3 linked regions of the Callithrix jacchus genome follow. The protein of the gene in region 3 interacts with the protein of the main gene of each other region in a pairwise test. Links are inferred from orthologs where the notes say so. Each region holds a gene or a part of one and is shown on either strand. Other genes may lie near its edges.

The links.
Region 1: the proteins of TNIP2 (region 3) and STK11 interact in binary tests that used the Homo sapiens proteins (3 or more experiments, as listed by UniProt). The link is inferred for Callithrix jacchus from reciprocal best matches to the Homo sapiens genes TNIP2 and STK11.
Region 2: the proteins of TNIP2 (region 3) and NFKB1 interact in binary tests that used the Homo sapiens proteins (3 or more experiments, as listed by UniProt). The link is inferred for Callithrix jacchus from reciprocal best matches to the Homo sapiens genes TNIP2 and NFKB1.

What each region holds. Positions count from the first base shown.
Region 1 is NC_133523.1:1,141,835-1,151,656, forward strand, and holds part of STK11 (serine/threonine-protein kinase STK11), read left to right. Parts: intron 1-4,739; coding exon 4,740-4,823; intron 4,824-5,578; coding exon 5,579-5,668; intron 5,669-6,557; coding exon 6,558-6,690; intron 6,691-6,762; coding exon 6,763-6,899; intron 6,900-7,363; coding exon 7,364-7,491; intron 7,492-8,026; coding exon 8,027-8,084; intron 8,085-9,010; coding exon 9,011-9,198; intron 9,199-9,591; exon of another isoform or gene 9,592-9,822. UniProt on the Homo sapiens protein: Tumor suppressor serine/threonine-protein kinase that controls the activity of AMP-activated protein kinase (AMPK) family members, thereby playing a role in various processes such as cell metabolism, cell polarity, apoptosis and DNA damage response.
Region 2 is NC_133504.1:94,839,753-94,850,350, reverse strand, and holds the start of NFKB1 (nuclear factor NF-kappa-B p105 subunit), read left to right. Parts: upstream 1-5,651; 5' UTR 5,652-6,108; intron 6,109-6,305; exon of another isoform or gene 6,306-6,498; intron 6,499-10,598.
Region 3 is NC_133504.1:190,414,309-190,424,130, reverse strand, and holds the end of TNIP2 (TNFAIP3-interacting protein 2), read right to left. Parts: intron 7,887-9,822; coding exon 7,797-7,886; intron 7,322-7,796; coding exon 7,073-7,321; intron 6,902-7,072; coding exon 6,782-6,901; intron 4,589-6,781; coding exon 4,325-4,588; 3' UTR 2,515-4,324; downstream 1-2,514. UniProt on the Homo sapiens protein: Inhibits NF-kappa-B activation by blocking the interaction of RIPK1 with its downstream effector NEMO/IKBKG.

The sequences.
Region 1 (9,822 bases), on a different chromosome or scaffold from region 3:
AGATGGGGTTTCACCGTGTTGGCCAGGCTTTGTGATCTGCTGGCATTACAGGCGTGAGCTACTGCACCTGGCCAAGTTGACGGTTTTAAAGGGTGCGATTCAGTGGCATGTAGTGTGCAACTGTCACCTCTGTCAGCTTTCAGAACATTCCCATTACCTCAGTGGGGAACCCCTTCTCCGTGAGCCGTCACTCCCCATTCCCTCCCCAGTCCTGACACCCAGGATGGGTCTGACCTGGACGTTTCACGGAAATGGAGTCACACACCGTGTGGCATTTTGTGTCCGGCATGTCTCACGGAGGGTGCCGTCCTCAAGGTGCATCCGCGCTGTGGCCTGGGTCCGAGCCCTGCTGCTGTGCACGTCTCTGTCACGTTCCAGCGCGTGGAGGGCCGCGCCGTGTTGGACCGCTCATCTGCGGGTGGACACTCGGGCTGCCCCCACCTCTGCCTGTGAATCGTGGGTGCTTTGGTGCCCGTGCACCCAGTTGGCATCCGCATCGAATGCCTCCTGAGGGCCTTGTTTAAGCCACGTCCACAGGGACTAGGGCATGTGGTCTGGAGGTGGGAGTTCCTGGGAATCCATGTGCCTCCCAGTCCTGCTCTGAGCCTCAGGAGGCTGAGCCGTCTCTTCCCCGTATGATCTGTTTCTAGGCTGATGGGGGCTCCTACCCCCATCCCTCTGTGAGCTTGAGTGGCGTTTATGACTCTGCTTCCTGTTTCCTGTCTGGCTAATCAAGTCAGCAAAACAGTCCACACTGCCTGGGCAAGGCCAGCGGGTTCCTCATGTGGTACCTGGGAGCAACTGGCAATGCCCTAACAGCCGGGCTTCCCTCTCGCCGAGCTCTTAGGGTTCCCTGTGGCTCTTGTTCATGTTCTGTTCTTTATCTGGCTGGAGACAGCAGAGGAAGCCTGGCGATCTAGAGAGGCTGATGTGCCCCAGCATCCCAGAGGTGACTGCCAGCAGGCAGAGGGTGCTCCACCCCTGCTTCTCCCCTGGCGTAAATCAGGGGACTCGTGTGCCTGCGCAGAATGTCTTGGTCCCTTTTAGTTAAACAGACAACCCAGTGTCCCGTGTCTGTGCCCACCTGCTGAGGAACGCCGGGCTGCTCCTTGTTTCGGTTGCTGTGCAGTGTCCCTGTGGAGGGGAGGCAGGGGCAGGGCAGTGGAAGGGGCTGGCACCCTCAGTGCGGGCAGGTTCCTCCTGTTCCTGTTTCCCCACCTGTAGAATGAGGGCTCGTGGGGGAGACGTGGTGTCAGCAGGTGGTGGCCGGCACAGGTTTCCAGGACTGAGTCCCCACCCTCGTCAGTGCAGGGAGGTTTCCAGGACCGAGTCTCCAATCCTCATGTGCATTTAGGGCCATGCAGCCCCTAAGTAAGACTCTGAGGCCTGACTGCCCCTCCTCGGGGTTAGGACTGCACTGGAGCCTGGGTGGGTGTGGGGTGGTCCCTGCCTGGGCAACAGGAGGTGGACGAGAGCGGTGCTGGCCCCGAGGGTCCCGTGGCTCCCCTGGCCACACTGAGGAGGCTGGAAGAGGGTGTCCTGGGCCACCGTCGCTGCCTGTAGCCGGCTTCTGCCAAGGGAGGGGCACCTTTGCCTCATGGCTGAGCATCAGGCTCTCGGGGCCTGGTGTCCGAGCATCCGGCCTCTGCTGGCCAGTGGCAGCCTCCGTCGGCTCTGGTGTCCCTTAGGCAGTGGCCCCCTAACATGAAGCGGCTCATCCCGACACTGGGGAGGGCCCTGGACTGGCCTGGTCGGGGCTCAGGCTGGTCCCGATCTGAAAACAGCACCCTCCCCACCCACCACCACTCGGTCTCCTCTGAACAGAAGGCAAGTCTTGGCTCGCAGGATTGGGCTGTGGCCCTCATCAGCGGGGGGGGGCGGTTAGGGCCACACAGATTCCAGGGGACAAGGGGAACTGGGGCTCAACCGGGCCTCTTGGGCCCACCCCGAGCTCTCCTGAGCAGCCTGGCAGGCAGGAGGGCACTGGGCCCCGGAGCCTTTGCTGAGCCCAGCCTGGCCGTCAGCGTCCCCCTCAGTGCCCTGGGTGCCTGCCAGCCTGTGGACACAGGCCCTGGCCAACTCTATAAATAGCCTTGCCGGACCTTGCTGGGAATTGGTGCCACCGCCACATAGCCCGGGGAGAACGGAAATGCAGGGCTTCCCAGCGAGAAGACCAGGCCCGCTGCAACCAGTGGGGAGTGGGGACGCTCCGCAGGGCAGGGTGCTGGGCACAGCCAGGGGCTGGAGGCAGGCACTCAGTGGTGCCTCTCTGTGCCCCTGTCCTTTCACCCAGCTTCCTTTCCCTCCATCCTGCTCTCCCAGCTGCTGTCCGATCTGGTGGCCCCTTGTCCCGGCCCAGCCCCAGTGCAGCCTGCAGCCCTGACAGAGCCCTGGTCTTGGCCGTCTGAGATTGCACTGAGGGCAGGGAGCAGTGTCAGAGCCTTGGGATTCTTAATGCACTGGGAGTCGTGAGCTGAGGCTTCCAGCAACAGGCGGCCCTGGGCAGGGGCGGGGCAGGATGAGTGGTGGGACACCTCTGCCACCCCGTTTCATGGAGCCCTGGGCAGGGGCGGGGCAGGATGAGTGGTGGGATACCTCTGCCACCCCGTTTCATGGAGCCCTGGGCAGGGGCGGGGCAGGATGAGTGATGGGACACCTCTGCCACCCCGTTTCATGGAGCCCTGGGCAGGGGCCAGGCAGGATGAGTGATGGGATACCTCTGCCACCCCGTTTCATGGAGCCCTGGGCAGGGGCCAGGCAGGATGAGTGGTGGGACACCCCTGTCACCCCGTTTCATGGAGCCCTGGGCAGGGGCCAGGCAGGATGAGTGATGGGATACCTCTGCCACCCTGTTTCATGGAGCCCTAGGCAGGGGCGGGGCAGGCTGCATGATGGGACACCCCTGTCACCCCCAGGTATATTTTTGGAGATGGAGTCTCACTCTGTTGCCCAGGCTGGAGTGCAGTGGTGGGATCTCGGCTCACTGCACCTTCCACCTCCAGAGTTCAAGTGATTCTTGTGCCTTGGCCTCCTCAGTAGCCAGGACGGCAAGTGTGCACCGCCATGCCCGCCTAACTTCTATAGTTTTAGTAGAGAGGAGGTTTCACCATATTGGGTAGGCTGGTCTCGAACTCCCGACCCCAGGTGATCCTGCCACCTCAGTCTCCCAAAGTGCTGGGATTACAGGCGCGAGCCGTGTCCGCCCCCCCCCCCCCTCTATTTTCCATGCTCCGTGCTTGCGCTTCCTGTTAAGGATGTATAGACTGGAGATACAGTTTCATACTGTACAACTCAGTCGCAGTGTGCAGTTCATTGGCATTTCGTACATTCACACGGTTCTGCAGCCACCACTTAATTCCAAAACATTCCGTCACCCTAAAAACAAGCCCCGTTCCTGTAGTGTCAGTCTCCGTCCCCTCCACCAGCCGCAGCCACTCTGAATCCACTTCCTGGATTGGGATCCTGTCGACTGGGCGAGGTGGCTGGGCACTTTGGGAGGCTGAGGCGGGCGGATCACGAGGCCAAGAGATCAAGACTATTGTGGCCAACGTGCTGAAACCCCGTTTCTACTAAAAACACAAAACTTAGCCGGGCGTGGTGGCGCATGCCTGCAGTCCCAGCTACTGGGGAGGCTGAGGCAGAAGAATTGCTTGAACCCAGGAGGCAGAAGTTGCAGTGAGCCAAGATCGCGACACTGCACTCCAGCCTGGCAATAGAGCGAGACTCCATCTCAAAACAAACCAAACAAAATCAGTCAGGTTCAAGCGATTCTGCTGCCTCAGCCTGCCAAGTAGCTGGGACTGTAGGCATGCGCCACACCCAGCTAATCGTTGTATTTACGGTAGAGACAGGGTTTCACCATGTTGTCCAGGATGGTCTCGATCTCTTGACCCCAGGTGACCTGCTGCCCTCGGCCTCCCAAAGTGCTGAGATTACAGGCCTGAGTCACCATGAGCTGCCTAACTTTTGTGTTTTTAGTAGAGACAGCGTTTGCCACATTACAGGCTGGTCTCGAAGTCCTGACCTCAAACGATCCCCCCGCCTTAGCCTCCTGAAGTGCTGGGATGACAGGCGGGAGCCATCGTGCCTGGCAGGGTCACTCTGGAGAAATGAGATGTCCGCAACAGGGCAGCAGCTGCAGAGGAGGCAGTGCCTTCTGGCCTGCTGGGCCCTGGGCACCGGACACCAACCCTTGTGACAGGCGGGTGGTCATGGCAGACCCCGCAATGGCTTCAGCGGCTGGCTTCTCCTTCTCCGGGTGCCCCTTCCTGTGGGCCATCTTTTCAGCTCACCTGCAGCCCACTCTCCAAGGCCTGGGACCCTCAGAGGAGTGGGGAGCCCTTGGAAGCATGGGACCATACTGGGCAACAGAGGCGTCACCAGGGCCCCAAGGCCCTGTTTCCTCCCATCGTCTGGGCTCCATCTGTGCTACTGTGGCAGTAGTCTTGTGTCTAGAAAGCACAACTGTGACTGCGTAACAGCTGAATTAAGAGTGTTCTCACCCAGTCCTCCAGAGCCCTCACCAGCCAGGGCGCCGCCTTCCCTTCCCCTGCCGCCCCGAGCCTGGAAGTGTGGCCCCTGCAGGGCCGTGCCCCAGCAGTCTGAACCCATAGCTTCTCTCCAGGGAAGGGAGCCAGATGTGCCACCTCCGTGGGGAGATGGGGAGGCCGACCCCGGGGATTTGGGTCATGTCACTGACATCGGGGGATCAGCTGACACCTTTTTCCTCTCTGTCCCAGGGAAATTCAGTTGCTGAGGAGGTTACGGCACAAAAACGTCATCCAGCTGGTGGATGTGTTATACAACGAAGAGAAGCAGAAAATATATCCTTCCCAGCGCTGAGCTGCGGGGCCTCCGTGGGAGGGGCTGGGGGGCCCTGGGTCGGGCTGCCCTAAGGTCTGTACCCCGTCTCATCTCCCTGAAGGATACTGGCACACGAGGGCAGTGGCTTTCCCTGGTTCCCCAGAGGTCAGCCATTGTGGCAACAGCTAACCGCTTGCTGAAAGGGGCCCCAAGCCCCAGCCCTGTGTCATGGGGGGTGTCAGGACCCGTTTTTCTCACATCTCCTCCCTGGCTAATGAGGGTGCGGCCGGGGCCTGAGACACAGGCTAGTGTTGTGGGCCATTTTCCTCATGGCCAGGCATGTCCTCGTGTCATCTGTAGATGCCCCCAGTGGGTCCTGTGGGCACAGCCTCCCTACGGGGACTGTCCTTCCCGGGGCCCTGTGCCCAGAGCAAGAGCTAGAAGTGGTCCTGAGGCTGGGGCTGTGTTCCCTGAGCTGCAAGGCCAAGAGCCTGGGCCTGTCTTACGTGGCCCCGAGCCTGCTCGTGGCGGAGTCTGGGAGGCCTTGCCCCTGCTTGTGGGCAGGGTGGGGAAAGGGAGCCCCGCAGGAACGCTGCCGGAGAGCCCTGTCCTTCACACCTTCTCCGGCTTCCTCCTGGGACTCCAGGGCCCTGGGCCTTTGTAGAGGTGTGGCCCCGGGGAGTGGCAGGGTGGGAGTGGCAGGGTGGGTGCGCGGGTCCCTTCAGAGCCCTGTGGGCGGGGCCGCTCCTGAGCTGTGTCCTTAGCACCCCCGCACGTATATGGTGATGGAGTATTGTGTTTGCGGCATGCAGGAGATGCTGGACAGCGTGCCCGAGAGGCGCTTCCCGCTGTGCCAGGCCCACGGGTGCGTGCGGGCGGGGCCGCTCCTTTCCCGGTACCCACGGGGCCTGTCCTGACCTTCATTGACCCGAGGGCCTCAGTTTGTTTGTTTGTTTGTTTGTGTGTTTGTTTTTCTCCAGACAGAGTCTCCCTCTGTCGCCCAGGCTGGAGTGCAATGGCGCGATCTCGGCTCACTGCAACCTCCGCCTCCCGAGTTCAAGCAATTCTCCTGCCTCAGCCTCCTGAGTAGCTGGAATTTTTGTATTTTCAGTAGAGATGGGTTTCATCATCTTGGCCAGGCTGGTCTTGAACTGCTGACCTTGTGATCCATCTGCCTTGGCCTCCCAAAGTGCTGGGATTACAGGCATGAGCCACCATGCCTGGCGGCCCGAGATTTTTGAAAACAGTTTTCATGAAAACAAACAAACAAAAACCAGTTTTAGGGACCCCCCGTTTGTGGCATCCACAGGCAACGCTGCTGCCGGCCTCCTGCCTCCTGTTGCCCGAGGCCAGCGGCCTGCCCCCAGTCAGTCCCCGGCATCCCCTTGCCCTGACCGGCCCTCCTGGGTAGAGGTCTGGTGGCCAGAGTCAGGGCCCCTTGCTGCTGAAGGGCCTTAGGGGAGGGGCCTACTGTTCCAAGACAGCTGTAGCCAGCTTGTGGCCCACGGGGAAGTGAGACCTCTGGACACCCGGGGCCCTGCCTGATGTGGCTCAGCCTGACAAGGGTGGTCACTGCCAGTGCGGGCGAGGCTCCCTGCTGGACCCAACCTTTCCGCTGTCCGGTGTGCCTGGACCCTGTGACTCCCCAGCTGTGCCTGTGGTGTTTGGGAGGCTCCCAGGTGGCTGCAGAGGAGAGCCTGTGATGGGCGGGGTGGCCTCGGCCCTGAGACAGGTGTGTGCTGTGCTGCCCGCAGGTACTTCTGCCAGCTGATCGACGGCCTGGAGTACCTGCACAGCCAGGGCATCGTGCACAAAGACATCAAGCCGGGGAACCTACTGCTGACCACCGGCGGCACCCTCAAGATCTCCGACCTGGGCGTAGCTGAGGTAGGCACGCGCTGGGGGGCCCTGGGGCGCCCCGTCCCGGCACTCTCTGAGGGCTGCGCGGCATCTCCACAGGCACTGCACCCGTTTGCGGCAGATGACACCTGCCGGACAAGCCAGGGCTCCCCAGCGTTCCAGCCCCCCGAGATTGCCAACGGCCTGGACACCTTCTCAGGCTTCAAGGTGGACATCTGGTCAGCTGGGGTCACCCTGTAAGTGCCCCGGCTGTCCCAGCACTCACCATACACACAGCTTGGAGGGGCCTCTGTGTCTTGGGTAGGCACAGGGCATGGCCATCAGCCCAGTCCCTTGCTGGCCACAGCCGCTGGGGGGTGCTTACCTGAGGTGTGACTCCCAGAGCACATGGTATTTCACCGTGGGAGGTGCGGCCTGGCATGTCGGGTGTCTTCACAGTGGCACAGCCCACCCTCACTCCCAGAGCCCCACAGGGAAGCCAGGTGGGTGAGATTGGCTCCAAGCCCCTACCCCAGGTGGGTCCAGAGGACACCCCCCTCCTGCCCCGCGGCCTCTGCTAGTGGGAGGGGGTGACGACAGAGGTGTCCCTGAGCTCGCACGGCCTGCGCTCCAGCGGCCACACGAGGGCTGCAGAGCTGGGACTCCCAGGGCATCGACCACCGTGGCTGACCACGCCCCCTTCCTTCTCCTTGAAATGAAGCTACAACATCACCACGGGCCTGTACCCCTTCGAGGGGGACAACATCTATAAGCTGTTCGAGAACATTGGGAAGGGGAGCTACGCGATCCCAGGCGACTGTGGCCCCCCGCTCTCCGACCTGCTGAAAGGTGGGAGCCTCATCCCTGTGCCCACAGCCCCTCCACAGGGAGGAGGGGGTTTTGTGCAGAAATGCAGGCTGGGGGTGTCAGGTGGGTGGCTGCTGGCCCTAGGGACCCTAGCAGGGCATTGAGAGGACTGACTGGAGAGGGCGGCCTCCCCAAAGGTCCTCCCCGGCCCTCCCCGCCGCCGCCATTACTCAACTCCACCCTTTCTTCTGGGCCTTGTGTTCCCCCTTTGTACTCCCACCCTTGAAGGTAGCGCTGCCCTGCTCTTCCCCCCCCCCGCCCGGGCCTCTGAGCTCCCTGGCCTGCAGGGTCTGCCAGGCTCACGCTGCTGCACATCTGCGAGTGGCAGCAGGTGGCACTGGTCGCCCATCCACCATGCAGTGATGTCCCCTGGAGTGGCCTCTGTCAGGGAGGCCGCCCTTGGGAGCATCCAGGCGTCACCCAGGGCTTGACAGCAGAGGCTGGGCAGGTGGGGAAGGTTGGTGGGGTCTCAGTCCTGTGCCTGGCGCTGCCCGGCTCCTCACCTGCCTCTCCTCAGGGATGCTTGAGTATGAGCCGGCCAAGAGGTTCTCCATACGGCAGATCCGGCAGCACAGGTGAGTGGGGCCAAGGCCACAGGGAAGCCGGCCATGGGGGCAGCTGCTTGAGTGGGGGCCGGAGCAGGGGGCGTGGTGGGGGATGTGGTGGGAGTGCCGGTCTGGGTCTAGGGCAGGATCACGTACAGTGCTCACAATTCTCGGGGCCTGAGGGGGGTCTCTGGGCAGCGCCCCCTTGCTGGCCAGACAGGCTTTGTCTGTGCTGGGGTCTGAGTGAGGTCATGTGTCCATCCCTGCTCCAGGCCTGGCATTGGGCCAGGAAAGGCACGGCTGGCCCGGGCACTTGGAGGGTCTTCCTTTTCCTTCCTCACTGGGATCCAGCCCAGGGCCCCCAGCTCCACCACAGGGAAGACAAGGCAGTGGGTGGGGTCAGCAGGCCCTGCAGTGCCACCTCCCTCACCTCCTGGGCCAGCCCCTGGGCGGGGGGTCCTTGAACCTTCTGCTAAAGCCCTCAGAGTTCCTCAGCTGTCCAACAAGGCCTGAGTGGGAGTGTTTGGACCCCTGAGGCGCTGGTGCTGATTGTGCCTGGGGCATCTTTGGGCAGCTTGGGGCAGCTGGGAGCCTGGTGGGGGCTGGGGCTGCCCTCCGATAGCCTCCTGGGCTGGATGTGCACGTGGCCTCCCTTCTGGCCTTTGCTGACCTGCATCTGGGGGGTGCCCTGGCTTCTGAATGCCACCTGGGAGACAGATCTGAGGCTGAAACGGGGCATGGGGGTCAGGCCTTGGGGTGGAGGAGACGTGTCAGGTTTGGAGTGAGGTCAGAGCTGTAGGGCCCTGGCAGCCTGGCTGCTCCAGGAGGGCATAGCTGAGCTGCTGTGGTCACGGCCACCCCTCGCATTGCCTGGTCCCAGCTCCGAGGAGCGGGGTTGGGCAGCTGGACTGCCCTGTGCCGGCCTGATAGGTGCCACTGCTTCTGGGCATTTGCAGCTGGTTCCGGAAGAAACACCCACCAGCTGAAGCACCGGTGCCCATCCCGCCAAGCCCGGACACCAAGGACCGGTGGCGCAGCATGACTGTGGTGCCCTACCTGGAAGACCTGCACGGTGCCGACGAGGACGAGGACCTCTTCGATATCGAGGACGACATCATCTACACTCAGGACCTCACGGTGCCCGGTGAGTCCCGCTGGAGCAGGGCGCCTGCCTGTCTGTGGTGAGGGCAGCTTCTGCCCTCTGGTGGCCAATCCATGTCCCCAAAGCCTCCAGCCCACCTGCAGGCCGCCTCCGCCCTGGGCTGCTGTGACATGGCTGAAAGTGTGGGGGTGGCAGGGGCACCGGCCAAGGCCTATCTGGCCGGGAGGGTTCCTCAGGCTCCTCCCCTGGTGCTGCCCAGCCAGGCACCGCCCATCGGCCTCGGCCTGAGTTCCAGCAGGAGCAGGCGGGGGAGGCCTGTGGTCGGGGGAGGGTGGGTCAGAGTCAGGGTGCAGGGTGGCCCCTCAGCTGGCACAAGAGAGGGTCCAGTGGCCCTCCCTCCCGCTGGGCCTGACGCTGGCCACCCTTCTTCCCCAGGTGGCGAGGAGGCGCCTGAGGCAGGGCTTAGAGCGGAGTGCGGCTTGCAGAAGAGCGAGGGCTCAGACCTTTCAGGAGAGGATACCTCGAGGCCGGCGCTGCAGTCGTGCCCGAGGAGGAGCTCAGGGCCTTAGCACGGGCGGCTGCACTGGCAGCCGGCCCCTCCCTGCCAGGCTCCCGGCTCAGCTCTGTGCTGTGCAGGGCTGGGCTGGATCATAAAGCGCTTTGCAT
Region 2 (10,598 bases), about 96 Mb from region 3:
GAAGAACTATATTTCCTGGCTCCCTTGCATCAAAGTGGGGCCATGGAATGTGAGCAGAAGTGTTGTGTCACCTCTACTCAAAGGCAATTAAAAAGAAGACATACTTTTCCTATGTTCTCATTGCCAGTGAACACACTACACAGATCTCAACCTCAGCATTCTCTGCACACTGACATTTCCAAAATAGCTTCATGAGAAGGAAAATTTGTGCAGTTTCAAAGATTTAGTGATACTATTGTTTGGATATTGGTCCCCTCTAAACCTCATGATAAAATGTGACCCCAATTTTGGAGGTGGGGCCTAATGGGAGATGTTTGAGTCACAGAGGTGGATCCCTCACAAATGGATTGATGCTCTTCCCTGAAGGGAGGGGAGGATGTGTGAGTTCTCACTGTATTAGTTCCCATGAGACCTGGTTACTAAAAGGTTTGGCACCTCTCCCCTCTCTCTCACCCTATGATCTCTGCACAGACCACTCGCCTTTGCCTTCCGGAGTGAAAGCAGTCTGAGATCCTCACCAGACGCAGATTCTGGTGCCATGCTTCTTGTACAGTCTGCAGACTGTGAGCCTAATAAACCTCTTTTCATTACAAACTACCCAGTCTTGTGTATTCTGCCATATCAACACAAATGAACTAAGACAAGTGACAAACACAATATAACATGTCTTTTAGGCAATATTGATGCCTGAAATTCCACACTGAGGCATTTTTTTTCTTTGTAGCCTGATAATGGTAAATACTTTCTGACACCTTAGGATGGATGAATTTGTAAGAAATATTCCTGGGGGGGAACGATCCAAGATGGCCGATCGCTAACATCCCCGGATTGCAGCTCTCAGGGAAGGCGCGGAGAACTAGAGGACGCCACACTTTCAGACAAAGTCTGGTCGCTCACGGAGCAGAAGATCCCCCAGTGGTGGAAACACACGAGTCGCCAGCGCGACTCTCGTGGTCGGTGCAGCGGTTCCGCCGGCACCTCGGCGGGCAGCGCTAGGCACAGAGTAAACGTGGACCGGTTCCCCTTCTGACCGAGGTTTGGAGCCCCGGGAAGGCAGAGTCGCCTACTACGGAAACAAGAAGGAAGCCAGACAGGAGAATCCTGGGCAGAAAAGCACCATCAGTTTTAATGCCGCTGCTCTGGCCCTGGGAACTAACAACCTGGACATCCACTCAAGAGACCTAATCTGAAAGTTGGTAATTTCAAAGACGACAGGAGGATAAATTTACAATGACGGGAAGAAACCAGCGTAAAAAAGCTGAGAATACTCAAAGTCAGAACGCCTCTCCCTCTAAAGATGATCACAGTTCCACATCGACAATGGAGCAAGGCTTGATGGAGAATGAGCGCCTCCTGATGACAGAATCACTCTTCAAGGAATGGATAATAACAAACTTCGGTGAGTTAAAAGAACACGTTGTAGCCCAATGTAAAGAAACTAGGAACTTTGAAAAAAGGTTTGATGAAATCCTATTGAGAATAGACAACTTAGAGAGGAGTATGAGTGAATTAACGGAACTGAAGAATACAATACAGGAACTCCGAGAAGTATGCACAGGTTTAAACACTCGAATTGTTCAAGCAGAAGAAGGGATATCAGAGGTCAAAGTCCAACTTAATGAAATAAAACGTGAAGAAAAGATTAGAGAAAAAAGGATAAAAAGGAATGAGCAAAGTCTCCAAGAAATGTGGGACTATGTGAAAAGACCAAATTTACGTTTGATAGGTGTACCTGAATGCTATGGAGAGAATGAATTCAAGCTGGAAAATACCCTTCAGGATATTATGCAGGAAAATTTTCCTAAACTAGTAAAGCAGGTCAACATTCAATCCCAGGTAATACAGAGAACACCACAAAGATATTCCTCAAGAAGAGCAACCCCAAGGCACATAATCGTTAGATTCACCAGGGTTGAAACGAAGGAGAAAATACTAAGGGCAGCCAGAGAGAAAGGTCAGATAACCCACAAAGGCAAGCCTATCAGACTTACAGCAGATCTCTCGGCAGAAACTCTACAGGCCAGAAGAGAGTGGGGGTCAATATTCAACATCCTCAAAGAACAGAACCTTCAGCCCAGAATTTCATATCCAGCCAAACTAAGCTTCACAACTGAAGGAAAAATAAAATCTTTTATGAACAAGCAAGAACTCAGAGATTTTATTACCACCAGGCCTGCTTTACAAGAGCTTCTGAAAGAAGCATTACACACAGAAAGAAACAACCAGTATTAGCCTTTCTAAAAATACACCAAAAAGTAAAGAGCACCAACATAAAGAAGAAATTACACCAACAAATGGATAAAACAGCCAGTCAACATCAAATGACAGTAACCCTAAATTTAAATTGACTAAATTCCCAATCAAAAGACACAGCCAAAACCCAACGGCATGTTACATCCAGACCTGTTTCACATGCAAGAATACACAAAGACTCAAAACAAAGGGATGGAGAAAGATTTACCAACCAAATGGAGAGCAAAAATAAATAATAAATAAATAAAAAGCAGGAGTTGCAATTCTTGTATCGGATAAAATAGATTTTAAAGCAACAAAGATATAGTGGTAAAAGGATCAATGCAACAACAAGAGCTAATGATCCTAACACCCAGATAGGAGACTTAGATTCAATGAGACAGAAAATTAATAAGGATATCAAAGACTTGAACTCAGATCCAGAACAAGTAAACTTAATAAATATTTATAGAGCTCTCCACTTCAAATACACAAAATATACATTCTTGTCAATACCACATCACACCTACCCATTAGTTTAAATGAAACATTAATTGGCCATTATTAATACCCAATTTTTTTCAAAATAAAGCAATATTTCCATTTACTCTCCCTCTTTCTCTTCCTCTTTCTTCTTCTTCTTTACTTATTATTTTTTTTTCTTTCCTTCTCTCAAATAAAAAAAGAAATCAACTTGTAAACCTCTAGATCCAGGTCGGCAATATCTCTTTCATTGCTTGATTTCCTTTCTTCCCCTCCCTCCCTCCCTCCCTCCCTCCCTCCCTCCCTCCCTCCCCGCTTCCTCCCTTCCTTCCTTCCTTCATCCCTTCCTTCCTCCCTACCGTCCTTCTTCCCTTCCTTCCTGCCTTCCTCCCCCACCAAAAAAAAAAAAAAGAAATATTCCTGGAAGCAGGTTTGTGCAGAGTGTAGAGAAAATGTTGGGCAACAAAGCAGGAATGGAGGAAGGTTAGTCAGGGAGCCAAAAAGAGTGAGCTGAAGGCTTTTATAGTTTTGCCTGCTGTGGTGCATGAAATTACATCCCCCCCAAAACATATGTTCAAGTCCTAACCACAGGTACCTGTGAATATGAGTTTATTTGGAAATAGAATCTTTGCAAAATGTAATCAAGTTAAGATGAGGTGATGCTGGATTGGGGTGGGCTCTAAATCCAATGACTGGTATCTTCATAAAAGAAAGGTTAGGGAGATTTTGAATACAGTGACACAAAGGAAATGCAGGGAAGGAGACTATGTGACAATGTAGGCACAGAGTGGAGTGCTGCAGCCAAGCCAAGAATGCCAAGTATTGCTGGAACCACCAAAAGCTGGGAAGAGCCAAAGTATTCTTCCCTAGAGCCTTCAGAGGCAGCATGGCCTTGATGGCACCTTGAGTTCAGAATTTTAGGCTCCAGGACTGTGACAGAATAAATTCCCATTGTATGCCATCCAATCAATGGTACCTTTTACAGCAGCCCCAGGAAACTAATATGCCTGCTCAACACCTTACCCTCAATTTTGTTCATTTTATGAGATCATTTTGAGTTTGCAGTTTGGTTTAATCTTTTTCAGTAATTAACACTCTTCATTTTTCCTCCCATATATGTCACAGTGACTGTACTCTTGCAACAATTCTATTTATCTATTTTCTGGCAATGGGGCTGCCACCCCTTGCAGAACGAAAAGTAGAGTGTGTATGCTCATGCCTCCAAAAGTGGGGGAACCCACTCCCCTTACACTTTGTTATTTCATGAGAGCTTGCAGACTTTTTACTCATGTCACTGGCAAAAATCATTTAACATAAACTGTATCTCATTCTACTGTAGTATTGGCACAACTTCTAATATTGTCCCATAAATAATAACACAGAAATTCTTTTCTTTTTTTAGTCTTGCTCTGTCGTGCCAAGGCTGGAGTGCAGTGGCACCATCTCGGCTCACTGCAACCTCTGCCTCCTGGGTTCAAACGATTCTCCTGCCTCAGCCTCCCGAGTAGCCACCACGCCCGGCTAATTTTTGTATTTTCAGTAGAGACGGGATTTCACCAAGTTGGTCAGGCTGGTCTCAAACTCCTGACCTCAGCTGATCCGCCTGCCCCGTCCTCCCAAAGTGCTGGGATTACAGATGTAAGCCATCGCGCCTGGCCTACAGAATTTCTTTAAAAGTCTTTGTGTTCAATCTTTATGAATCTTCTGAATCCCAGCTGCTCAGCCTCTGGGAGCTAAATGAGATCTCTTAAAGGTAGACTGCTAGGTGCGGAGGCTCACCTCATAGGCAATCAAATGGATCTGTTTTTTTTGTTTGTTTGTTTCGTTTTTATTTTCCATAAAAACACTCCACCAAGAAGGTTCTTATGACCTACTGGAGAAGGAGGACAGAAAGTGGGCATGAAAGGATTAGGATGAACATGCCATAAGCAATCTAAATGTCACTGCGACATTGCCTGGTGCAGACCTGATTACTGATGTTTTAAAGCTAAGCTTTCAGTTGTCACTCGACCCAGTAGTTAAACAATGAGCTCTAAAATATCTATTTCGGCTTAACATGCTTATGTGGGGAGGTAGTCCACTACCAACTTCTCCCCAGCCTGTGCCTAGTACAGTGCCCAACACTAAAGCAGTTCAGATGCCAGTGAATGGTGGTGGCCACTGGGAGGCCTGTCTGTGGGTGCCAGTAACGATCTCTTCAGAGAAAAAGAAAACTCCCCTCTGTCAGATCAAATGCATTCCTACCACCATCACTATGATTCTATCCACAGTAATTATCATAAAAGCCTAACAATATCTGGTAGATGAATGTTCTGAGTAAGTGTCCTAACCAGATTTAAGACTGCACCAAAACCAGTAGAGGTTACTTCACTTGACACAAGTCGGTTATGATATCTAAATTCTAGTTTAATCTGCGAAGAGATTTGAGTGTAACTGAGACACACTTAAATGGAATATACAGATGAGCTTTATTTTTATATCTGGCATGCTTGGATCCATGCCGACCCTCCAGCTGCTCGGGCCTGCCCTTAGGGTCTCTGGACCGCATGACTCTATCAGCTGCACCGCCGCCGCCGCCGCCTCCGCGCCGCCTGCGTTCCTAGACCATCAGGCCCAGCAGGCGCTTTCTGGGGGCGTCCCTACCGGCTCCAGCCCTCGGGGTTCGGGAGCGCCTGGCTGGGAAGCCAGAGCCCTGCAGGGTACCGGGGCGTCCTGGCCTCCTAACGCGCGCCCCTCGCCCGGCGCCCCGAAGCGGCCCCGAGGGGCGGGAGCCGAGCCCAGAAGCCAGGCCGGGCCTGGGGCGCAGGGCGCCCCCATAAATGCGGGCTTCCCCCACCCCCGCCAGCGACCCCACCTCCCGCCCCCGCTGCGTGCGCGCGTGTGTCAGTCTGTCTGTATGCTCTCTCGACGTCAGTGGGAATTTCCAGCCAGGAAGTGAGAGAGTGAGCGACAGAGAAAGAGAGAGAAGTGCACCAGCGAGCCGGGGCAGGAAGAGGAGGTTTCGCCACCGGAGCGGCCCGGCGACGCGCTGACAGCTTCCCCTGCCCTTCCCGTCGGTCTGGCCGCCAGCCGCCGCCGCCCTCGGCCTGCACGCCGCCGCCGGCCCGGCTCCCGGAGCCCAGCGCCGCCGAGGCCGCAGCCGCTCGGCCAGGAAGGCGCGCCGCCGCCCGGCCACAGCGCGCCCTGCGCTTCCCTCCGCCCGCGCTGCGGACATGGCGCGGCGCTGACTGGCCCAGCCTGGCCCCGCTGCGCTCTCGCTCGCCCCGACCCGCACCCGGGCCCGCTCGGGCTCCGGCCGGCCGCCGCCTCTTCCTTCTCCAGCTCTTAGGCCCGCGCCGCCCGGGAGGGAGAGCCCACCCGCGACAGGAAGCCGAACGCTGACTCGCCACCCGGGTAAGCCAAACTCGGGCGAGTGGGGACCCGGCAGGGTACGCGTGGCCCGAGTCCCACCACCCAGCCCTCCGCACCCCTCCAGCCCCACTCGGACTTCCTTATTCCTGCGCTAACCGCTGGGCTAGACCGTGGGAGAAGGTTGACAGTAGCTGAGAGGCACAAGGGATTGGAGACAGCGGGGAAAGGCACATCCGGACCTCGCAGGGGCTAGTCGGCCGAAGGGCCGCGGCCGCCGGGCGGTCATTCCTCTTCACGTCCTCGGCGCATCCGGACCTTGCAGGGGGCTACTCGGCCGAAGGGCCGTGGCCCCCGGGCGGTCATTTCTATTCACGTCCCTCCGCGGGGCGGGAACGCTAACCGGTGGGGAACTCTTACAAACTTTTAAAATCCCCACCCCCAGCCGCAGCTGGGGGATGGTGAGAAGGTTGAGGTGCGCTGCGGCGCGGAGGAGAGAGGGAAGGTGGTTGGTGCAGTGCAGAACCAGATTTCACCTAAGGGCGTTCCATGAAATGAAAGCAGAAGTCCTTGTCAGTCCTTTTGGCTGGGAAAGCCCTCTCCAGCTCCCCAGAATTGAATAGGAGAGTCTATTCATCCCTCTCCTACTTCTAAAGGAAGGCTGTCCCTCCCTCCCTTCCTCTCTCTCTCTCTGTCTCTCTCTCTCCCTCCCCCCTCCCTCCCGCCCTCCCTCTCCCCCTGCCCCCCACCCCCCAACCCACCACACACACGATATAGTCACTTGCATACTTAGAGCACTTTTTAGACTTGATTATGTAAAACTCTTGGACAGAGTCACCATGCATTGTGCATGACCTCCAAAACAAAAAATAATGTAAAAACAATGCCTAACCTAAATGTAAGTTTTCCTATGGTCTTTAAAAACATATACACCAGGGGATGTTTGCCCTGGCTTACTGGTCTATCCTGAAACTCAAATGGGACTTAATGATACAGGATTTAATTATCAAGATTCAAGACATTTTCATGTACTCTGTTAAGTAGAGGTTTTCAGCATTACAGTTTATGAACTAACTGTATTTAACCTAAAGATTTTGTTATAAAGCTCATAATCTGAGAAAATGCTTATGGTATTACTAAAACATTGACTAGCTCTGGCATCAAAATATTCTTCTACACACTGGTGATCTTTAGTAAATACTAAAGGTTGGGGTCATGATGTTCCATACGTTTTTTCTAGCAGAATCCGACAACTGAATATTATCAAGCAGTTTAAAGTGCATTCCTGTTTGTTAAAACTTTAAAAGGGAAACTTAAAACTGAAGTATGTTTTTTTTTCCTAATTATAATACTGTGCTTTCTAGAGGTGAATCCTTTTACTGTTTGAGGCACTATGGGAATTATGTATTTAAATTTGAAGCAGAGTACTTTTTTTAGTTTATAAACTTGGGAAAGCAGGAAGTAAAAAGATCTGTTCCTTGTAGAATTTTACATTCATGATTTAATTGAATTGCTAAAACGAAAAGAGCTTATACGATTAATGGAGACATGAAATCTGAGATTATTCATCCATATTGATATACCTGCAATTCCTAAATAGCCTCCCCTGCTTGTTTAGATAAAATGTCTTCCTGGGCTACAGCCTGCTGGACAAACTTGAACACAAAGGAACACGTTATATGTATGCTTAATACTGCTGCTTGCAGTGAAAAAACCACTTAAACTCTTAGAGACTTTTTAAAGAAAACAGTATAATCCTGGGTTGCTGGTGATTTAAAAATCTTATTATCTTTTTTTTTTTTTTTGAAATTTCTTATGTTCTGCATTGGTACTCACTTGTGCTGAGTAAATGCCCCTGTTTTTCAAACCCAGGTAGTAAATATGGGGGTATACATTGCAAAAATAGTCCTTCCCCTTCCCCTTTGTAAGCATTGCTTTGATCTTTGCACTTCCTTTTTACTCTACCTCTTAAACAAGATCTGTGATGGTTGAGTTGATTAAAGCAAATTAATCTGAAATTGGCAGAATTTTATATTTAGTGATCATATTCCTTACATTTCTCTTGTTACTGTTCCTGGAAACAAATTGAACTAATTTGAGAAACTAATATTTATGCAGGTTGCTTTAACCACACTTTTAGACTTGCAGATAATTGATGGAGTAAGTTACTACCTTGACTTTCAGGGATTGCACATTGTGGGAGAGATAGGGAATTGACAGCTACATGAATCTTGGATGATCCTTCCATCAGCAAGACCTTATTTTTACCTAATTTATGAGAGGTATTTCTCTGTTCAGAGGAGGTGAAAGTTCTGGCTTTTGGGGGAAGTGGTTGCTTCATAACCTTCAGTTGGTTTGAACTTGGGAGAAGTAAGACGAGTAGTTGATTTTTCAAACAGTAACATAATTGTGTCTGAGTTGCTATATAGATTTTTTATAAAGTACTCAAAAATGTCATCTTTTTCATCTTCAAGTCTTAGTAGATGTGCTATTCTGAGCATAGAATTGACTGCAGTAGGAAGCATATCTGGAAATGTACTGTTGTATAACCAATAGAGTAAATACTCAGATTATGCTCTTCTGGTCCACAGATTGATCAGAAATCGCATTAACAGGAATGGAAATACATGAATCAATGGCTATGCAAAATTTCTCATTAACGTTTTTACTTTTAGTAGGAAGTTTGTTTTATTAGGTTGGTCTGTTGGTTTTCTGTTTACAATGTGAATTGTCTACAGTAGTTAGATTGTTACATTAGAAGATGGGAAGGAAAAAATAGAAGTTAGTGCTAGAGGATACATTAAGATGTTCTGCTCCTACATCTACATTTGTGTCTAATCAGCATTAATTGATTACTGCATCTTGGTAACCAGTAGACCATACTGTAGCCATTTACTCTGCTTTTTGGGAATTAGTTCTCATTTGCACTTTTGCACCTCCCATGAATACTGAACTCACTTGTAGTGTTCTTAGAGGTGAGCAATAAACCATCAGGAGTATGTGATATCTCTTTGAATTCTGTCACTACTTTGGAGACAGAGACTTGAAGAACTAGAGGTACTCAGCCTCACAGAGAAAGGTGTGAATGTTTTGGCATAGTCTTGTGAGTCAATTTGGTTCCTTAACTGTGAATTTTTTACTCAAAAAAGATTAGTATTTGAAACCACATAATTTGGTACAGTTCTGGTAACATAACCAAACCATTTATCTTCGTAATATTTCATTAATTAGTATCCCGTGCCTCACTTTCAGAAGAAAAAAAGATAAACAAGTAGTGGCATTCTTTTAATGATGATGAAATTCCTTCATACCTTTGGTCTCTGCTGTATTGGAGGTTGTTCCTGGGTGCAAATTAATATACTGTCTTTTACATCTCCGGAGGTTGTTGACCTGTCCTTGAAGATCAGCCAACAGTTTAGAAAATAAGTTGTGCAAATTACATTGCTTCACCTCAAATAATTTAAAGCCTGACAGTTATGTACAAAATAAGAGTCACATAAGATAAGAATTGTTAAAGATTATAGAAATCTCAAAAGATAGATTATGGATGAAAATATTTGTTTAATTTAGAGTACTACTAATAGAAAGTGTATTTTATATTAAAAATAATTTTTATTCTCATATTTTCTGTAGTAACACAGATTTAATTATCAGTAATACAGATTTCATCTGCTTTAATGTATTGCCTGCTTTTGAAATTAGAACACTCATATATTTGGTTTAATTATTCATTACAGATTGCCTTATTTTTTTTATTTCTTTTACCATTAATCCAGAAACCTTAAAATAGCTTTTATTTTGACCCTTGCTTTCAGTAGGTATCAACAGACTTGAACTCACTATGATCCTATTAGTTTAAACTGTGAAAAATTTTGGCTGATTGAGCTTTAAAAAAGAATTTATGTATTCTATATGGCTTATTCTTTAAACTAGCCAAAATTATAAACAATGAAATAAAAAGAAAGGAAAAGCTGTCTGAGAGAATCATATTCTATAGTTCAACTAAAAAGAAATAACATCTTATCTGTACTGACAAAAGCAATATCCGATGCTCAACGTTGTACTTGTTGGCACATAGTAAGCAATCAATAACTGTTTAATGAATGACATGAAGTTATTGCATTTTGTTTTTTTAAATGGACAGCCATCTTCTATAAGGAACAATAATGATATTATTTTGCTTTGTCTTCTGGAAAGAAAGGAGACCAAAACAGTCCTTGCATCCTAGCTATTATGGAACTCTTACCTAAAAAGCTCTTGAAGTTTACTAGAACAAATCATTTATTAAAAAGTACCTGGAGCCTTCCAAAAGGAGAACGTTTCATTCTGAAAGAGGCATTTATGAACAGGGGAAAAAAATGCCTTTTAGTTTCAAAGTTTTAGAGGCACCAGAGCAAGATAATAAATTAACTGGAATGATAAAAGGTGTTTGTCCAATTGAAAAATGTAACTTCTTGGTGAAATTAGAATTTCTTTACACTCCATTGAAACTGTAATATCAAATACTAATACCTCAAAAAAAGAAGCAATGCTAC
Region 3 (9,822 bases):
ATCTGATTAAAATTCAGGGACCTTCCATCTCAGTAAAATTTCTAGGGGTCCAGTGTTGTGGAGCCTCTTGAGATACTCCTTCTAAGGTGAAGGAAGTTGCTGCATTTGTCCCCTGCTACAACCAAGAAAGAAGCAGTGCGCCTAGTGGGCCTGTCCTGATTTTGGAGGCAGCACGTTCCTCACTTGTGTGTGTTACTCTGGCACATATATTGAGTGACTGGAAGGGCTGCCAGTTTTGAGTGGGGTCCAGCACAGGAGAAGGCTCTGCCCCAGGCCCAGGATGCTGTGCAGGCTGCCTTGCCTCTTGGGCCACGTGACCCAGCAGACCCAATGGTGCTTGAGGTGTCGGTGCAGTTGGGGTGCCGTGTGGAGACTTTGGCAGCCCCCATAGGAGAATCGCAGCAGAGGCCTCTACGATTTTGGACAAGGCCCTGCCATCTTCTGCAGATAACTACTCTCTTGGCCTGTTACTGGGCTTTGGTGGAAACTGAACGTCTGACTCTAGGTCATCAAGTCACCATGTGACCTGAACTGCCTGTCATGAACTGAGTGCTTTCTGACCCATCCAGCCATGAAGTGGGTTGTGCACAGCAGCATTCCGTCATCAAATGGAAGTGGTAGATACGTGATCAGGCTCCAGCAGGTCCTGAAGGCACAAGTAAGTTACATGAGGAAGTGGCTCAAACGCCCATGGTCTCCACTCCTGCCACCTGCCTTCTCTCCCGCAGCCTGCACTGACAGGCTCATGAGGAGTTCCCTATGATCAGCTGACAAAGAGAAGACGAGGGCCAGGCTCACAGATGGTCCTGCACGATATGCGGGCATCACCTGAAGTGGACAGCTGCAGCACCACAGCCCCTCTCGAGGACATGCCTGAGGGACGGCGGTGAAGGGAAATCTTCCCAGTGGGCAGAACTTGGAGCAGTGCACCTGGCTGTGCACTTTGCATGGAAGGAGAAATGGCCAGATGTGCGATTATACATTGATTCATGGGCTGTGGACAGTGATTTGGCTGGATGGTCAGGGACTTGGAAAAGCATGATTGGAAAATAGGTAACAAATCTGGGGAAGAGGTATGCGGATGGACCTCTCTGAGTGGTCAAAAACTGTGATGGTATTTGCATCCCATGTGGGTGCTCACCAGTGGGTGACCTCAGCAGAGGAGGATTTTAATAATCAAGTGGGTAGGATGACCCGTTCTGTGGACACCACTCAGCCTCTCTCCCAGCCTCCCCCGTCATCGCCCAATGGGCCCATGAACAAAGTGGCCATGATGGCAGGGATGGAGGTTACGCATGGGCTCAGCAACATGGACCTCCACTCACCAAGGCTGACCTGGCACGGCCACTGCTGAGTGCCCAGTTTGCCAACAGCAGAGACCAATACTGAGCCCTCAGTATGGCACCATTCCTCAGGGTGATGAGCCAGCCACCTGGTGGCAGGTTGATTATACTGGACCGCTTCCATCATGGAAAGGGCAGAGGTTTGTCCTCACTGAAATAGACACTTACTCTGGATATGGGTTTGCCTATCCTGCACCCAGTGCTTCTGCCAAGACTACCATCCGTGGACTCAGGGAACGCCTCATCCGCCATCATGGTATTCCACACAGCATTGCCTCTGACCGAGGTGCTCATTTTACAGCGAAAGTGCAGCCGTGGGCTCACGCTCCTGGAATTCACTGCGCTTACCATGTTCCCCACCATCCCGAAGCATCTGGATAGAATGGTGGAATGGCCTTTGGAAGTCACAATTACAACGCCAACTAGGTGACAGTACTTTTCAGGGCTGGGGCACAGTTCTCCAGGAGACCGTGTATACTCTGAATCAGCATCCAATATATGATACTGTTTCTCCCATGCCCCGGATTCACGGGTCCAGGAATCAAGGGGTGGAAGTGGAAGTGGCACCACTCGCCATCACCCCTAGGGGCCCACTGGCAAAAGTTTTGCCTCCTCTTCCCACGACATTATGTTCTACTGGCCTAGAGGTCTTAGTTCCAGAGGGAGGAACGCTGCCACCAGGAGACACAATGGTTCCATTAAGCTGGAAGATTTCCACATGGACACTTTGGGCTCCTCCTTCCTTTAAGTCTACAGGCTAAGAAGGGGGTTACAGTGTTGGCCGGGGTGATCGACCCAGACTATCAAGATGAAATCAGTCTACTACCCCACAAGGGAGGCAGGGAAGAGTGTGCATGGAAGACAGGAGCTCCCTTAGGGCGCCTCAGCATTCCCGTGCCCTGTGATTAAGGCAATGGGACACTACGGCAGCCCAATCCAGGCAGGGCTACAGATGAGCCAGACCCTTCGGGAATGAAGGCTTGGGTGGCTCCACCAGGAAAATATCCACGACCTGCTGAGGTGCTTGCTGAAGGCAAAGGGAATACAGAATGGGTGGGAGAAGGGAGTCGTCAGTACCAGCTCCGACCATGTGACCAGCTGCAGAAACCAGGCCTGTAGTTGCCATGAGCATTTCCTGCTTTTGTTAAAAATGGTTGTGCACGTTTACACCTGTGCTAAAAAATCTTCCTTTTATTTCCTTTCTCCTGTGACATAAGATTGATTGACTTCACGACAGCATTTGGGTTGGGGATTGGTGCGTTTCTGGTTGTATGAAAGACGTTGTATTATGTTAGGTGTTAATTATGACCTCATTACTGTCTATTTGAAGACTGTGTATGAGCTCAGGAGATGTGTCTGGGTTCAGGCTGACAAGGGTGGACTCGTGGTGGTGAATACTGAGTACTGATCCCGGGCGTGTCTGTGAGGGTGTTGCCAAGAGATTCACACTTGAGTCAGGGGTTGGGAAGGCAGCCCCACCCTGAATCTGGTGGGCACCATCTCATCAGCTGCCAGCGCAGCTAGAAGATAAAGCAGGCAGAAAATCGTGAGAAGAGACGGGCCTGGCCTCCCAGCCGACACCTTCCTTGTGCCAGATGCTTCCCCCCTCGGACGTCGGACTCCACATTCTTCAGTTCCAGCCGACAGCTTCCTCGTGCCAGATGCTTCCCCCCTCGGACGTCGGACTCCACATTCTTCAGTTCCAGCCGACACCTTCCTCGTGCCAGATGCTTCCCCCCTCGGACGTCGGACTCCACATTCTTCAGTTCCAGCCGACAGCTTCCTCGTGCCAGATGCTTCCCCCCTCGGACGTCGGACTCCACATTCTTCAGTTCCAGCCGACAGCTTCCTCGTGCCAGATGCTTCCCCCCTCGGACGTCAGACTCCACATTCTTCAGTTCCAGCCGACACCTTCCTTGTGCCAGATGCTTCCCCCCTCGGACGTCGGACTCCACATTCTTCAGTTCCAGCCGACAGCTTCCTCGTGCCAGATGCTTCCCCCCTCGGATGTCGGACTCCACATTCTTCAGTTTTGGAACTGGGACTGGCTCTCCTTGCTCCTCAGCCTGCGAACGGGACCTTGTGATCGTGTAAGTTAATGAACTCCCCTTATATATATGAAGTGGACGGCTACAGCGCCACAGCCCCCTTCTAGGACATCCCTGAAGGTGAGCAGTGAATGGAAATCTTCACTTCTCTATATATTCCATGAGTCTGTCCCTCTAGAGAACCCTAACAGAGCCAGCCTCCCACTGGACCCCTTGTCTTGGCACCCTGGCATAAAGCAAACAGCAGGAGTATTGTTTTCCCATGCCAGCTGCTCTAATCCTGCTGGAAATACTGCTCAGTCCCTGCAACCCAGCGCCCAACACAAATTCTCAGAGCAGTCACAGTGGCAAGAACATCTATTATAAAAACAGGAGGATAAAATAAGTGCTTTAAGTTCTGGATATGCGACAAATGCTATTCGATGCTGTTTTGCAGTGTAGGCATGTGGCTCTGTGACGGTGGGTGGGCCCCTAGTGTGATGCACGGCCAGTGCTCCATGTGACAAACCTCCTGGTTCCAGGCAGAGAGGAGGCACCTTACCCGTAGAAGAGGATGGGGCTTCCACCCTGGGGACCGCACGAGTGGCTCCCACAGGCAGCCACCCCTTTCTGGCAAGCTGCGGCATTCCCAGGTGCAGGATGGGGGAGGGCTGGCACGCCAGCATCAGATCGCTCTGGCTTCAGCCTGATGGAGACATACGACTGGGACCTCCCTCCCATCTCCACCTCCAGCCTCTAGCCTCACTGGCAGTTCCCTGGGACCCAGCCTGTTCCACAGCCAAAGGGGGACCAGAGTGAATGATCACAGCACCCCACACATATTCTGGGGGTCTTGGATCTCAGTAGAGCCAACCCATGGCACCTGAGAGCACCTCCCTGTCCCTGAGGGCAGCTGTGCCGGGCCAGGGGCCGCAAGGACATGGTGAGTCTCAGTCACTGGCAGCACTCGGCCACATGCCTGAGGAGCTCTTCACCTTGCTCGTCACTGAAGCACTGGAGGCAGTGAGGGCACTGAAGGTCCCCCTGGCCTTTCTGCGCTGCACCAGGATGCCCATCCTCTGCAGGGGGTTCCAACTGCTGGGACCCAGTCCCAAGCCTCGAGCCACAGGGCACCATAAGCGCCACTGCATCGGTGGCCAAGTATTTGGCAGTTTTGCTCCCAGCGTGAGTCCGGCAGGCGTCTGGCTCTTGAGAATCCTGCAGAAAAGGCAAGGGTCTATTTACATGGGCTGTGCTGAAGGTCACAAAGCCGGCTCTCAGGTCCCAGCAGCTAGGGCTGCTGCATCTATCCCTGAATGGAACTGTAGTCCCTCACTTTGCTTCCTGCTGTACCCCAGAGCCCAGACAAAGGTGTGCTCAGTGAATGACTGCAGAGGTCACGCACACTCTCCCTCATGCTCAGGAAGAAACAGGCCCTAGCGGGATCCACTCCCCAGCTCTTTGGTGGAAGCCCTGTTCTGTCGGCCCCATCGGCCCCAGGAGACCCGACTGAGAAGGTGGCCCTGACGATGTGGCCCACATACCACTACAGCGTGGAGGTGGCAGAGCCCAGGATGGGGAGCTGGGCAAACAGTCCCAACCCCACTCTGCATCTCCTCTGTGGGGCTTGGGGGTGCTGAGCACTCTGGGGCCCAGGGAGTCCTTCAGTAGCAGCAAGAGGTGTCCCTGGCTTGGCCCCACCACTTGGCACAGCTTAGCACACGTTCTCCAAACGCCTGTCCTGAAGCACTGCAGCCTGCAGCCCTCACTGCTCGTCTGGGAACGCCATTCCAGCGGGCCTTGGGCTTCCACGTTCCGTCTGAATGTGGCTTTTCCCCAGTGGGACTACAGCTTATCACCCAAGCCTTCAGCACCATGTCCCCAGGTATGCCACCTAGGGACTGAGCAACACTCCAGGGGCCCCAGGCTACTGCTGAAAGGGACACAGAGGCCACTTGGTACAGTCTCCAGGCCCTACCAGAAATTTTACCCTTGGGGCTAAGAATCTGGGCCTGCAGGTCTGGAACCCGTTCCCCTGGTCTGAAATCTTTGAGAGGCTGCCTGAGCCCATCCTCACGATTGTACCATTAGTGACCCCTCAGTCCATATCATGGCTTCCTCAAATTCACGGAGCCCCGAAAACCCACAGGCAAAACCAAATCCCAGGAAAACCCACATGTAGTTCTGTAGCAAGATGTTTCCATTCCTGCCCAGGGGACATGCTGAAGAATCCCTGTCCCAGGCCTGCTGTCCCAGCGACTCAGGAGAATCTGAAATTGGGGGATGGGGAACCACCCAGATACACTCCATTCTATGATGCCAAGAAGGCTGCAGGGGCCGGCAAGGGCTTAAGGCAGGGCCTGCTGTGGCTGGTGAAGCCTCCAGCACCTCCCTGTCAGCCTGTGGACTTAAGCGGGGAAGACAGTCCCCCACCAGGTTCCTCCTCCGTCATGCACGACTACAAACGGCTGCCTGTGTCCAGCCCTTGGCTGCGAGCTTAGTCCCAGGGCGTGTTAGAAGAGGCGCCCACCATGACTCCCCTGTGCCCTTCGTGCAGAAGGAGAAGCAGAAGCCACAGAGGCCCAGTGGCTGCTCAGAACAGGGCAGTGGGGCTTGCCCTCAGCCCCAGGATCCCTGTCCACACCCTGCCACAAGGGGCAGCTCAGCTTGGCGTCCCAGCTCCCGCCCGGGGGGGCGTCGACTCTCAGGGCACCACTACCTTTCAGCCTGTGTCGGGGAGGAGGTCTCTGAGTGGGGCCCGGGCCAGACGTGTGTTAGATACTTGATGAGGAGCTAACAAACTTCGGGATTTTTGCAGAACACAAGTCAGTGAAGAGAAGGGAAGAGGCTGTGGGCCACACAGTGAGGAGCTCCATCACCTCCTACCCACAGCAGGCCTCCTCAAGGCATCCCCATGGCAGGAACAGCACTGAGCCCAGGGGTGGGGTGAGGGGCCTCTGGCCAGCAAGGCCCAGCTCCATGTGCCAGGCTGAGCTGGGGGAGGTTCCTGGATACCCAGGGCCATCATATCTCTGTGACAGGGTAAGCAGGGCTCCTGCCTCACAGACAGGACAGGACATGTATGGAGCTCACACTTTGAGGCCCGGGACACGCTCTCTGACTGCATGGCAGTGACGGACAGGCAGGCAGGACAGGCCCTGAGGACAGCCCCTCTGCTCACACAGGCCGCCATGCCAGCCTCCTCCACAACTAAACCCAGTGCGACAGGGAGGCTTTCCAGGACCATGCCCCAGGTGCTAGGCAAGATGGCTCTTCCCAGAGCAGGAAGAGCTCACCACCCTCATCACCAGCACATCAGGGCCTTGGCAGACACAGAAAGGCTCTAAATTCATGAGAAGAAAAACAAAAACAGCAAACCTAAGCAAGAAGAAAAATGCCCTGATACCTTACCTGTCTCCAGGACACCTGGTGCAGCAAAGAGGTGACTTTTTCCTCCAGTTCCTGAATCCGACTTTGGGCCCGTTCCCGATCAGCCCTTTCTGACATGAAGTCATCCTTGTAAGCTAGAATCTGAAGAGAGCCAAGACACACATTCCTGCTCAAGGAAGGAGGAGTCTCCACCAGGCTTCTCCCCCCACCATGACCACCGCCCACTCAGGGCCACCAAGCCTTCAGCCCAGCCTGTCCCATGATTTTGGACATCAGCTGGTCAGTGCCATCCCGAGCCCGGGGGACAGACACCTGCTGCTCCAGCATCTGCACCCGCTCCAGTGCAGCGTCCCGGGCCATCCTCGAGGTCGCCAGCTCCTGCTTCACTTCTGTGCAGCTGTTTATCCTTTCTTCCAACTGTCTGTTGAGCCGGGAGATCTCCTTCCTCATCAGCTCAGGCTCACGGGGGATCTGCAGCCCCCTGAGCTGGGCATGGAGCCCCCTCACATATTCGTCCCTGCTGGCGTCGTAGCGCTGCCACTTGGCATTGAGGTCTTCAACCTGCGGAGGTGGAGCAGGGCAGCTGACAGCGCTGCTCAGGCCGGCGCCCAGTGTGGCCTATTTCCTAGCAGGGATTCGCAGAGCGAGTTTCCTCTGAAATGGAAGCTCCCCTCCCTGTTCTGTAGACAGCAGACACTCAGCCCACTAGAGAATCCTGAGGCACTGGGACGACGCCCGTACGCTACCGCAGAAACAGACGTGGGCACGGTGCGACTTTTCCGTTAGAGAAGGTGCCTCCTGCGGGCGACTCCCGCATTTCCTTCACTGACGCGTGAGTTCATTTTAGGGGGACAGAGATGGACAGAACACGTCCTGTACATCATTGTAGGCAAAAAAAAGTACAGTCTCTAGGGATTGTGTGTGTGAAGCCATCGTGGCCAGAAGGTGGGGCGACCTCTGGCATCAGCCGAGGAAAGAGCCCTCACTCAGTTCCAAGGCACGTGTCCCTCCCAAACGAAACGGGAAAGACACTCACGTGAGTCACCTTCTGTTTTAGCAGTCGGTTTTCTTCCTGTAACTTTTCAATAACACTCTGGACGGAGGTGGGCCCACCTGTATGTTCTGACTGCATGAGGAAGGGACAGAGAGAAGACGCACTATCACACACAGCAAGGCGGGAGAAAGCTAGACCCAGAGACTAAGGCCACAGCGTCTCACTGCATCCCCCAGTGCAGTGGGTAGTGATCGTTCATTTGGCGGAGCAGCACAAGGGGACAAGGGACTACCTCCTCCCTGCCCAGGCCCACCCCACCAGGACCAGGCCACGTCACCTGTGACACTGTCCTCATCCCTGTGACACTGTCCTCATCCCTGTGACACCATCCTCGTCCCTGTGACACCGTCCTCTCGTCCCTGTGACACAGTCCTCGTCCCTGTGACACTGTCCTCATCCCAACCTACCTACCAGTTTCAGCTGTTTGTCTTTTATTATTTTTTTAGACGGGGTTTCACCATGTTGGTCAGGCTGGTTTCGAACTCCCTACCTCAGGTGATCCGCCTGCCTCGGCCTCCAAAGTGCTTGGATTACAGGCATGAGCCACCACGCCCGGCCAGCTATTTGTCTTTTAAATATTTGGAATGTAAATATTCTAAAGCCATAATGTCTACAGGGGTTGGCACACCAGACACAGCAGAGTCTTCTCATTGCCAGACATTTGCCATCATCACAGACAGCAGGGAAGGCAGGAAGCTGAACCTCACTGTAAACCAGACTCTCCAGCGAGGGGGCCCCAGCCGCCCAGGGTGGGCCTGGCCACGCACCCGGCTGACAGTGTCCTGCCTGCAGACAGTCAGGTTCAACCAGGGGACTCTGGACCCAGCAATCTAACCTCTGCCCCATGCAGGGTCAGGAGATTCAGTCACGGAAGCCACGACCCAAACCGAGACCCACTAACCACCACAGCGCTAAGTGGAAAGTCTCATGAAGCCCATGTGTGCCCTAGAATTCCTACTACGTCTCAGTGATGTCATGTTTGAGATTTCCCTGAATGACAAAGGAAGTACGTGTCCTAACCCGGCCTACACTGGGAAGCCCCGGTGACTCAGCTGAGCTCAGACTGAGAAGTGACACTTCTTTAGAGACTGTGCTGAGGGCCCACCCTGCCACCCGCCCCACACTCCCCTCAGGCTGAGCCCTGTATGTGGCTCCTTTCAAATCCCCAGAGGGAAGTGACACGGTGACTCAAAATCAGACAGAACACCCTGCCTCCGCCCAGACGGCACTTTTCCTCTGGCTTCCGAACGCAGCTGTGTCCTCTCTGAGGTCCCTGTCTGGAATCCACCCAGCCGAGGCGGGCAGTTCTCGGACCAGGCTTCTCCCCGCTGGCCGCTTCAGTGAAGCTGCTGATGGGGATGGGACATCCTGTCTTCCCAGAGCATCCCAGAGCGTGCTTCCGCATGAACCTTGGTGCTGCCTCAGAGAACTGCCTAGAAAGGCCCCGGGCAACAGGCCCTGTGCCCTGTAGTGAGTGCAATGCGGCCTCAGTCCGGGTGAGATGTGCACGGGGTGCCTCCACTTCCCTGCCTGCCACACAGACCCACCACAACCACCAGCAAGATGGAGGGTGGCTGGCTCGCAGTGGCCCCGACGCACTCGGCACACAGAGGCCTTGGGCTCATGGCTCCCCTACCCATCCACCTAGGAGCTCCCTCGTTTCTCCTGATGCTGGAACTCCCGCAGTCCCTCTCTCCCACTGGACCCACACAGAGCTACCGCCCAGACCCGGCCCCTCCTGGGGTCCAGTGAACCCTTCTCTGGCCCTCACTGTCACTTGGCGCTGCTGTGCCCTGGTCCTGGCTTTGATGAGGAGGCGGCTGCGGCCCTGAGCCAGGCCTCCAAGCTGGTGGGAGACTGTGCTGTTGGCAAGGACATGCCTAACGCCAGCTTTGGAGATGGCGGCTCTGGCTGTGCCTGGACCCACGCAGACACGCTGAGCCTGCAGAAGGCGGGTACTCAGTCCTTCCGGGAGTTTTGGGTGTGGAACTTGGAGGCACTCCTGGTC